Linked DNA regions of Arabidopsis thaliana. The protein of the gene in region 1 interacts with the protein of each later gene in a pairwise test. Each region holds a gene or a part of one and is shown in the gene's direction. Other genes may lie near its edges.

The links. The genes of interacting proteins can lie anywhere in the genome.
Region 2: the proteins of AT3G04860 (region 1) and AT2G19650 interact in a two-hybrid assay, tested with the Arabidopsis thaliana proteins (one large-scale study listed by BioGRID).

What each region holds. Positions count from the first base shown.
Region 1 is NC_003074.8:1,338,240-1,342,739, reverse strand, and holds AT3G04860 (hypothetical protein (DUF868)), read left to right. Parts: upstream 1-2,116; 5' UTR 2,117-2,351; intron 2,352-2,434; 5' UTR 2,435-2,521; coding exon 2,522-3,391; 3' UTR 3,392-3,913; downstream 3,914-4,500.
Region 2 is NC_003071.7:8,492,736-8,497,763, reverse strand, and holds AT2G19650 (Cysteine/Histidine-rich C1 domain family protein), read left to right. Parts: upstream 1-1,871; 5' UTR 1,872-2,060; coding exon 2,061-4,109; 3' UTR 4,110-4,295; downstream 4,296-5,028. Other genes in the region: AT2G19660 (Cysteine/Histidine-rich C1 domain family protein), read left to right, coding at 1-1,044.

The sequences.
Region 1 (4,500 bases):
TAAAGTACTAATGACTAACAATGAGCGATGAAGAAACTTGTTTGTGATGATGTATGATGCTTTCTCTCCTCATAAAACTCTGTGGTGCTAACAACTGTCTTCAGTGCGCTTAACCAATTTTTTTTCTTTTTTATATGATCAAAACCTATTCGAAATGAAATTAGGTGAAGAATTGAGCCTAAACCCATTTTAGATGGTACTTAGATAAGAAAAAGATTGAAACGATTTTTTACTAAACTTTTAGTTCACATTACCAAAAATTAATAATCTGATTCGAGCTTTCCTAACCTTTTAGTTTATGTTCGAAAGAAAGAGTTTTAACTTTTCACTTGAGTTGAGAGACATAGAAATTGATTCTCTGGTTAGCCGCCTAAAACGTTTAGGCTATAATCTCGGTTATTCGTTGTTAAGTCTCAAGAAATGATAATCCGAATCAAATATGGGCTGGTGTATTTAAAAAGGCTGAGACCCAAAACAATATTTTTGTTTGGCAACATCTATATATATATATTTTTGCAACACTTTTATGAAATAAATCCATAAATCCTGAAATTGAGGTTTATTTACAATCCAATGCTATTGGCATTTAATATTTTAATAAATTTATTCTTAAATCTAAATATAAATCAATTTTGTTACTAAAATTTAGAAAACAAAAAGAAAAATAGTCACAGAAATCATTTAAATCTTTTCAAATCTAAACTAAAATATACTACACACTAACTTAAAATTAACTTAAAATCATTTAAATCTTTCCAAATTTAAACTTCTAAAATAATTAAAATATTTTGCCCAAAAAACAAATAATAATAAAAATATCATGAGACAAGTTATATAGTGAAGCGGATTTGGATTGATATAACACGGGTTAAATATTTATTTATTATTTTATCATCACTAATTTTTTATTTACAATATTAATATAAAATTATATAACTTTAATATTAAATTAAAACCATAAAATTTAATATTATTATATATATAAATAAAATATTTGTCCCGTGGTGTACCACGGGTTAAATCCTAGTATCACTTATTTCTGTTTTGTTTTAACGTTTTTAAGATTTTATAGCTTCTTGAAAGAAACGACTCATCCTACAAATTACAATCTTTGTCAATGTTTAGGATTTTTTATTTGCATTTTTATCTTCTGTTTTGAGAAGATGTCCGTCGCTCACAAGTAGATAGGGAGACATATTATTAATTTTAAATCAATACTAGTATAAAATAACAAACGACACCAACAACACGATAATATTAATAACGAAAATGAGACTACGATAAAATAAAAAAATAAAAAATCAGATCCCAAGAAAATAATGTTAAACTACTGGGACCTGCTTTATTACAGGTTGGTCCAAATTTCAATCGGAAACATACATAATGATAATTAATTATTCCAAGACTTTTGCGGTAGCATTGCCAAACAAAAGGAAACAGTTTAACCTATTTGGTATGATAACTTTGTTCGTTTTGATAATTAAACATATGCTCTTCACCCACCTATTTGGTTGACAATGGAATGAAGAGTCAAGACATATGATTGATTATCGTATGAAAAATTCAATCGCTAAACTACCTCTAAAAACGGTATATGACTAATTAATCCATTAGCGAAAGCCCAAGAGAGCAGTGAGAGTGGGCTCAATCGTGGGTATTAACTACATGCCTACTACAAGTCATGAGATACCAATGGTTATCATACCACACGTGGCAACCATTCCTTCCAGCCTTTCATATACTTTTTTAATTTTTATCCTACTTTTTTTTTTAAGAATATACATAAAAAATTCACTATAATGAGACAAAGTTAAAACCCTTTATTATTTAACTTAAAGCACAGAAGAAAATGTGAGTATTTGTGTCAAAAATAACAAAGTTCGAACCAAAGTTTGTAAATTTTTTGATTAAAATCTAAGATGATGTAAAAAAGAAAAGAATGTAAATAATGTTTTTGTCCGAAATTTATTGTTACAGTCGTTTTCCGCTGAATTAAATTCGAATTTGGTACTTTGCCAAGAAAATCGGGTAATTATTTTAACGTTTTTAGAAAAAATGACTCAGACAGTGAAAACAAAGTTTCCTTTTTGTCTGTTTCTGTCTTTTATTTTTGACTACAGTAGTAGGCACACACACATTCTCTTCTATTTTGGCGAATTTCGCCTTTTGTGCATTCTCTCTCTCTCTCTCCCGGAGTCTCAGGCTTTCTCTTAACTTCTCATTCTCTCCTTGGTTGATGAAACTGGATCGATTTGATAGAACCCAGATCAAATCTGTTGACATTTTTCCAGATTTCGATGCTTTTTTGAGATTGGGTTTCTCTTTCTTTTGATGAAACTTATCACTTTCAGGTAAATCCTATAGTCTAAACACTTGCTTTTACGAAATTTCGTTACTAAACTGAAGTTAAATTCGCCGCCTTTGAATTTCTCAGCGTTGCCCAGTTTTGGCCACAAGGTGTTTGTTGAAATTCCGGAGAGAGAGAGAAGCTCGAAATTGGGAATTCTGTAAGGAAAAAAAAATGAGAGATTTTCCTTCTTGCTCTGGTGAAAATGGTGTTCAGATTGCGGACTCTTCGTCTTCCTCGAGCGCTGGAAGAAATGCTCAGAATTTGGTAATATGCATCTACCGTTGCCGCATCCGAGGTAGGACTTGCTTGATCACAGTCACATGGACTAAGAATCTGATGGGTCAGTGTGTTACCGTGGGGGTTGATGATTCTTGCAACCGAAGTCTGTGTAAAGTCGAGATTAAGCCGTGGCTCTTCACTAAACGAAAAGGGTCCAAGACTCTAGAGGCGTATGCCTGTAATATCGATGTTTTCTGGGATCTCTCGTCTGCTAAATTTGGATCCAGCCCTGAACCTTTAGGAGGGTTCTATGTTGGAGTTGTTGTTGACAAAGAGATGGTTCTTCTTCTTGGTGATATGAAGAAAGAAGCTTTTAAAAAGACGAATGCTGCACCTTCTTCATCTTTAGGTGCTGTGTTCATTGCTAAGAAAGAGCATGTCTTTGGCAAGAGAACGTTTGCAACTAAAGCTCAGTTTTCAGGTGATGGCAAAACTCATGATCTTGTGATCGAGTGTGACACTAGTCTCAGTGATCCTTGTCTCATTGTTCGTGTCGATGGAAAGATCTTGATGCAAGTGCAGCGGCTTCATTGGAAGTTCCGTGGCAACGATACCATAATTGTCAATAGAATCTCTGTGGAAGTTCTCTGGGATGTCCACAGTTGGTTCTTTGGGTTGCCATCATCACCAGGAAATGCAGTGTTTATGTTCAGGACTTGTCAATCTGTTGAAAAGACCTGGTCTTTCACACAGGTCCCCACGAGCTCAAAATCTCAAAGTTTTGGGTTTTCATTGATTCTGTATGCTTGGAAGAACGAGTAGAGAAGAAGAGTTTTGAGAGTTCTTTTGTTTCTCTTGAGTGCTAACTAAAGGTTAAAAAGGAACTGTTGATTCTTGTCAATTTATTTTATCATATGATCAATTGGTTTCAATTATAGTTTTCTCGTAAAATGTTCGAACCGGATCATTGAAGTATATATCAGTTTCATATGTCAAAAGTTTTTACTTGAGACTTGTAAAGACTTTTGTTCAAAGCCGATTACTTTAGCCCTGTATCAAGAAACCAACTGTCTAGATACTCTGTTTTGTTCTCCATGTGCATAATGTTCCTCAATACACTTGATAGTTCTAACTACATTAAGGGTTTCTTTGGTGTATGGTCTTTCTTCTATTGGCTGTTCAATTGTGGACAAATCAGATTATAACGATCTGAGCTAAAGCTAGTAGTTACAAGAAGATTATCAAACATGTGCTTTGCATCCATCTAGATATTCTTGCTGAATCATTTTATCAAGTATATGTATCTTCCTTTTAGAGATATATCATGTATTTGGTTTTGTTTAGCGCCATACCTTTTGAGACATTGTATATAGCACTTTGTTATTATCCAGCTCTTTGCAGTTTCTGCAGGTTTAAAGAGTATTTTATCAAGGATTCTAGAGAGACGTGGGTTTGTACTTGAAGATTCTTAAATTGTGAATCAGTAAGTCATGTTTCAAGTTTTCACATTTCAATTATTTCCTTGCTGCGGTCTCTTCTCTAGCCCTCCTAGACTGCTAAAAAAATTAAAGATTATAATAGCATGATAGATACTCTTGCTGAATCATATGGTTTAGGTAGGGTTTTCAACTTGCTTCAAACAAACCTCTCTATAGTTGTTCCTGTTCCTTAGAAAAACTGTCTGAATAATGTTTTGAGTTTTGACTGTTGGGTTTGTCCAAATAATGTTTTGAAAACTTTTCCTTGAAGCTGTTCTTGTAGCATGAACCCGTGACATGAGAGAGTTTGCAAAGTTTATTATGATTCGATATCCACCGAAAAGTGTACAACATAGCACTCTTGCTTGAAAGAACATCAAAGTTCTCTTGGATTGTCAAGTCAGAGAAAGATGTTTTAGAGCAAGCCAAGTTACTTTATACGTCAATTCAAAC
Region 2 (5,028 bases), on another chromosome or scaffold:
GATGGCTTCTACGGGGGTTATTCTTGCTCAAAATGTTCTAACTATGTTGTTCACTCGAGATGCGCAACGGACGAGGATGTATGGGACATGATAGAGCTAGAAGGGACACCCGAAGAGCCAGAGGAAGATGCGCCATTCGAGGTGATTGATGATAACACGATCAAACATTTTAGCCATGATCATAACTTAGTAATCAACAAGGATGGGAGGATTCTCCATGAAAGCACACTATGTAAAGCATGTGTCTTCCAGATCTGTTCAGATGCGTTCTACAGTTGCGAGAATTGTGACTTCATTCTCCACCAAAAATGTGCTAACCTGCCTCGGAAGAAACGGCATGTTTGCGACAACCTACCATTTACCCTAGTCACAAATGATACTTCAGACGAAACTTCATGTGATCTTTGTTGGCAAAGTTTCACCGGTTTCAGGTACGAGTGTCTTACTCGTATGGTTACTCTAGATGTACGATGTGGTTCAATTCGAGAACCATTGGTGCACCAAAGCCATCAACATCCCTTATACTTTTCGAAACGTAGTTCTAAGTCTTGTACGGAATGTGGCAAAAACATGGATCTAGATATAGGAAGCTTTAGCTGTGATGAGTGTGACTATAGTTTGGACTTCAAGTGTGCTCTTTTACCGCAGAAAGTAAAGTGGCATAGATACGACGATCATCCTCTTTACTTGTCGTGTGGTGAAAGTAGTGTGGATGGAGAATACTGGTGTGAAGCATGTGAAACAAAAGTGAATTCGAAGAAATGGTTCTATACATGCAATGATTGTGGTGTCATATTGCATATTTCATGCGTTGTGGGAGACTTCTCATATTATATGCCAGGTTCCAAAATAGGATGGGAGGAAGACTTGGTGGTATCCAACACCTCTATGTGTAGACCATTTTGCTATGTGTGTAACTCTCAATGCAAGCTTCCTTCCATTGTTAAGGTCGTTTCCAAAGCCGATGTTGTTTTATACATTTGTTCTTTAAACTGTTATTATAATTTCAACCGCTCTAATAACTACTCTAGTAGTGATTGGTAAGGCATGTTTTAATGAAGAAAAACTTTGTACCATTTAATTCCAAAAGTATGTTTTACAATAGTTTTTTTTTAACCTCAAGCTTATGCGCTTTTTCCACAATTATCAATCTTTTGAATCCAGTCAGCAGCAGTCTCAATGATCTTAGAAACAGAATTTCTTAACAGGATATTTAAAAGAACAAGTTTCTTGACATTAGAGCTGGAACTGGAATCTGGTCTCTGTTTTGTGCTAAAGCAAGAGCAGCTCATGTATACGCAGTATGTCTTTTTAACTTCTTTATTAATCAAAATTTGCTCTGAGTGATTTGAATACATGTGATTTGACAAATGATTCTTCGAATGTTTCAGATGGTATATATATGTTAACTTTATAGTGTTATTCAAATGGGTTATACAATCTGATGGTGGAAATAGAACTTACTTTTGGCTGTATAAAAATTAAAAAACAAAGATTGGCCCAATCCTGGTCTTAAAGACAAAAATACAAATCTTTTGGTCTGAAATTACATAAAAGTTAGTGGATGCAATACAATAATAAAACTTTGGTTTCAGAGACTTGAATGCAGCAAAGTCTACCTCCAAAGCTACTTGGCCAAGGAGTTGTGTGGTTCAGACTTCAAACTGTTTTTTCCACAAAATGTACAGTTCCATCCATTTAAATTCTAAACTATTCTATCCATAAACTTCTATTCCATTTAATGCAAGAAAAAACCTTTTTTGTATTCATTCAATTATTTATGTTTTGGCCGGACACAATAGTTGCAGAGTCAACATATGTGGTCTGAGTTAATTAAATAATGCAAGGATGAAGCCAACACATGTGGTCTCAATCTCAGTAATGAAAAGAATCATTTCTGTGGTGCGAATTCATATTAACTATTTGCAAAGTCTGAAAATGATAAACCACTTGAAAAAAAATCCTGAAAGAAAAGAAAGAGAGAAAAACAAGAAACCAAGTCTGAAACTAGTGCAGAAGAGAAGAGCTTTGTGTTTTGGTGGAAGTAAGAAAACATCACCATGGAAAACTTTCTAGCTTTGTTTAATGAAGGCATGGACGAAGAAGCATCCCGCCTTGAAAAATTGTTACCATTTCATGAGCATCCGTTGATACCTTTTACACGCTTCGAGTTCACCAAGTGTAAAGGATGCTACTCGACCGATGAAGATAATACAAGCTTCATTTCCAAACATCCCGGTTGCAGTTACATTTACGGAGGACACCGATGCAATGAGCCGGGATGTGATGTTGTGTTCCATGAAGAGTGCGCCAAGCCGTTACCAGAAATCGACCACCCTTACCATCCAGTCCATCCTCTCAAGCTGATCCTCCTACATACCAGAGTTTCTAATTGTAGTTTCTGTGGAGAATTTTTCAGTGTCGGTTATCGCTGTAACAAATGTGATTTCCAGTTGGATTTGATTTGCGCGAGGAGACCAGCCCTACTTGTTCTTGCTGAAAACTCCTACCTACACGAGCATCCACTCCAACTCTCCCATGAAGCGCACGAAACACTCAGAGATTGCAAAGGGTGTGGCCATCAACATAATAGCTGGAAACATTTCTACACATGTCATCAATGCGAGTTTTTCATCAGTCTGGATTGTATCGATCATAATAGTCCAGAAGCATACCACACTTCTCACCCCCAACACCCACTCAAGTCACTTAGATATGAAGTCCCTGGTTACGCCGACAAGAAATGTCTTCTTTGCCGCGAGGAGTTTGATGGAATCCATCGCCAGCTTCACCACTGTGGTGTTTGTAATTTTAGCATATGCAGATCATGTATGAAAAACCCACCACCGGTTCTTGTTAAAAGCCCGAGGACCCATGAACATCAACTTCACCTTGTTCCAAGACGCATTGACTTCACTTGCAATGCTTGTGGGACGCTAGGTGACCGTAGCCCTTATTTCTGTCTTCAGTGCAATTTCATGATTCATCGGGAATGTATCGATCTACCTCGCGTCATAAACATCAACCGCCACGACCACCGCATCTCTTACACCCCTCGCCTCGGACATGGAGACGGGAAATGCAGAGTTTGTCGTAAAAATGTGGATGGGTTCTACGGGGCTTATTCTTGCTCCAAATGTTTTGATTATTTTGTTCATTCAAGATGCGCAACCAGAAGGGATGTATGGGACATGATCGAACTGGAAGGGACACCCGAAGAAGAGGAAACTGCGCCATTCAAGGTGATTGATGACAACACGATAGACCATTACGGCCATAAGCATAACTTACGAATTTACCGTGGCTGGAATCTACCAGAAAGTGTAGTTTGTACCGCATGTGTCTTCCAGATTTGTTCAGAACCGTTCTACGCTTGCGCGAGAAAGAGATGCGATTTCATAATCCACGAAAAATGTGCCAAGCTTCCTTTAAAGAAACGTCATGTGTGCCACAACCAGCCACTCGAACTATCCCCAAATTATGGCACCTACTTGTTACATAGGTGTAGTATTTGCCGTCAACTGTTCACCGGTTTCTCCTATGAATCTAAGGAATTAAGGATAGATGTACGGTGCGCTACAGTTACAGAACCATTTGAGCACAAAAGCCATCAACATCCTTTACACTACTCTACAGATCACTCCAAACGTTGTAGTGAGTGTGATGGAGACGGGAAATTGAGTTGCGATGATTGTGAATTTGGTTTGTGCTTCAAGTGTGCTATTTTACCGCAAAAGGTAATGAGGCATAGGTACGACGATCATCCTCTCTTCTTATCTTATGGCGAAATGGGCGTGGCTGGCAAATATTGGTGTGAAGCATGCGAAACAACTGTGAACCCAGAAAAATGGTTCTATACATGCAATGAGTGTGGGATCACATTGCATATTTCCTGCGTTATAGATACTTACGCATATTCCATGCCAGGAGCGTTAACATGGATAGGAACATTTGTATCCAACCACTCTATTTGTAGACCACTTTGCTGCGTGTGCAACTCTCGATGCAAGCTCCCTTTCGTTCGTACGCTTCCCGAGGACGGAGCTGATCTATACTTTTGTTCTTTAGAATGTGAGAAGAAAATTTATCAGGAACGTTTCGAATTTTAAAATTATGTTCTTTACTATGTTTAGAAAACTATTTATTTATAGATGATAATGTTTGCTAGCTTGAATGACTCGCAAATTTGGTAGAATTTGTGAGGAATCTGGGTCTGTTAAATTATTACAAGTCCCTACAATAACATTTGGTTGTGTACTTGTGTTAGTGTAATATATATATATCTCATTGAACCCTAGGGTGCATTAGTGTTTGCCAAATAAAAACCAGAAAAAATATCAACTTATTTATGGATGTAAGATTGGAAAAGGTTGGATCAATCTTGCCAGTCAATCCACTAAATGTTTAAGTTCCTACAAGTCGAAATGTCAATGACAAAAACAGAGACGTGGAAGTGAGAACAGAGCAGAGCAAAACAGAACATAGCAGAGTAAGTCAGTCAGAGCAGGTTGTGTTGTAGAATCACATTAGTTCTCTGATAGAGAAGCCAAAAAACTCAGTTTGTGTTGTTGAACTTGGAACAGAATGAGAACAAGTTAATCACTAAAAAATGTTTGTGTCACCGTCATGTTGCGACCTTAAAACAGAGCCCCCTAATAATTTTTTGTTACACTGGTTCTATTGAATCTATTTTATGGAAAAACTATTACACAATTTGGTTTACCAATACATTGATCCCTATCAAGGAAGCTATGGTTTCAGGCACTGAGCACACTGAAGAGTAATAGAGATTAACAATGCAAACATCATCAAGCCATGTAATTCTGCAGTTTTCAACTTAAAAAGTCAAAAAAATTATGATTTTTCATTCAACCAAAGAAAACTGATGCTCCATTATTACAACAAAACTGTTTCCGTGTAATTCCACAGACCATTACAATTGATTCTTCAGACTATCTAGGAGAAAACAAAAAACCTAGATATGGAATTCTAGAGCTAGAATACTTATCGAATTTTCAAAACTGAGTA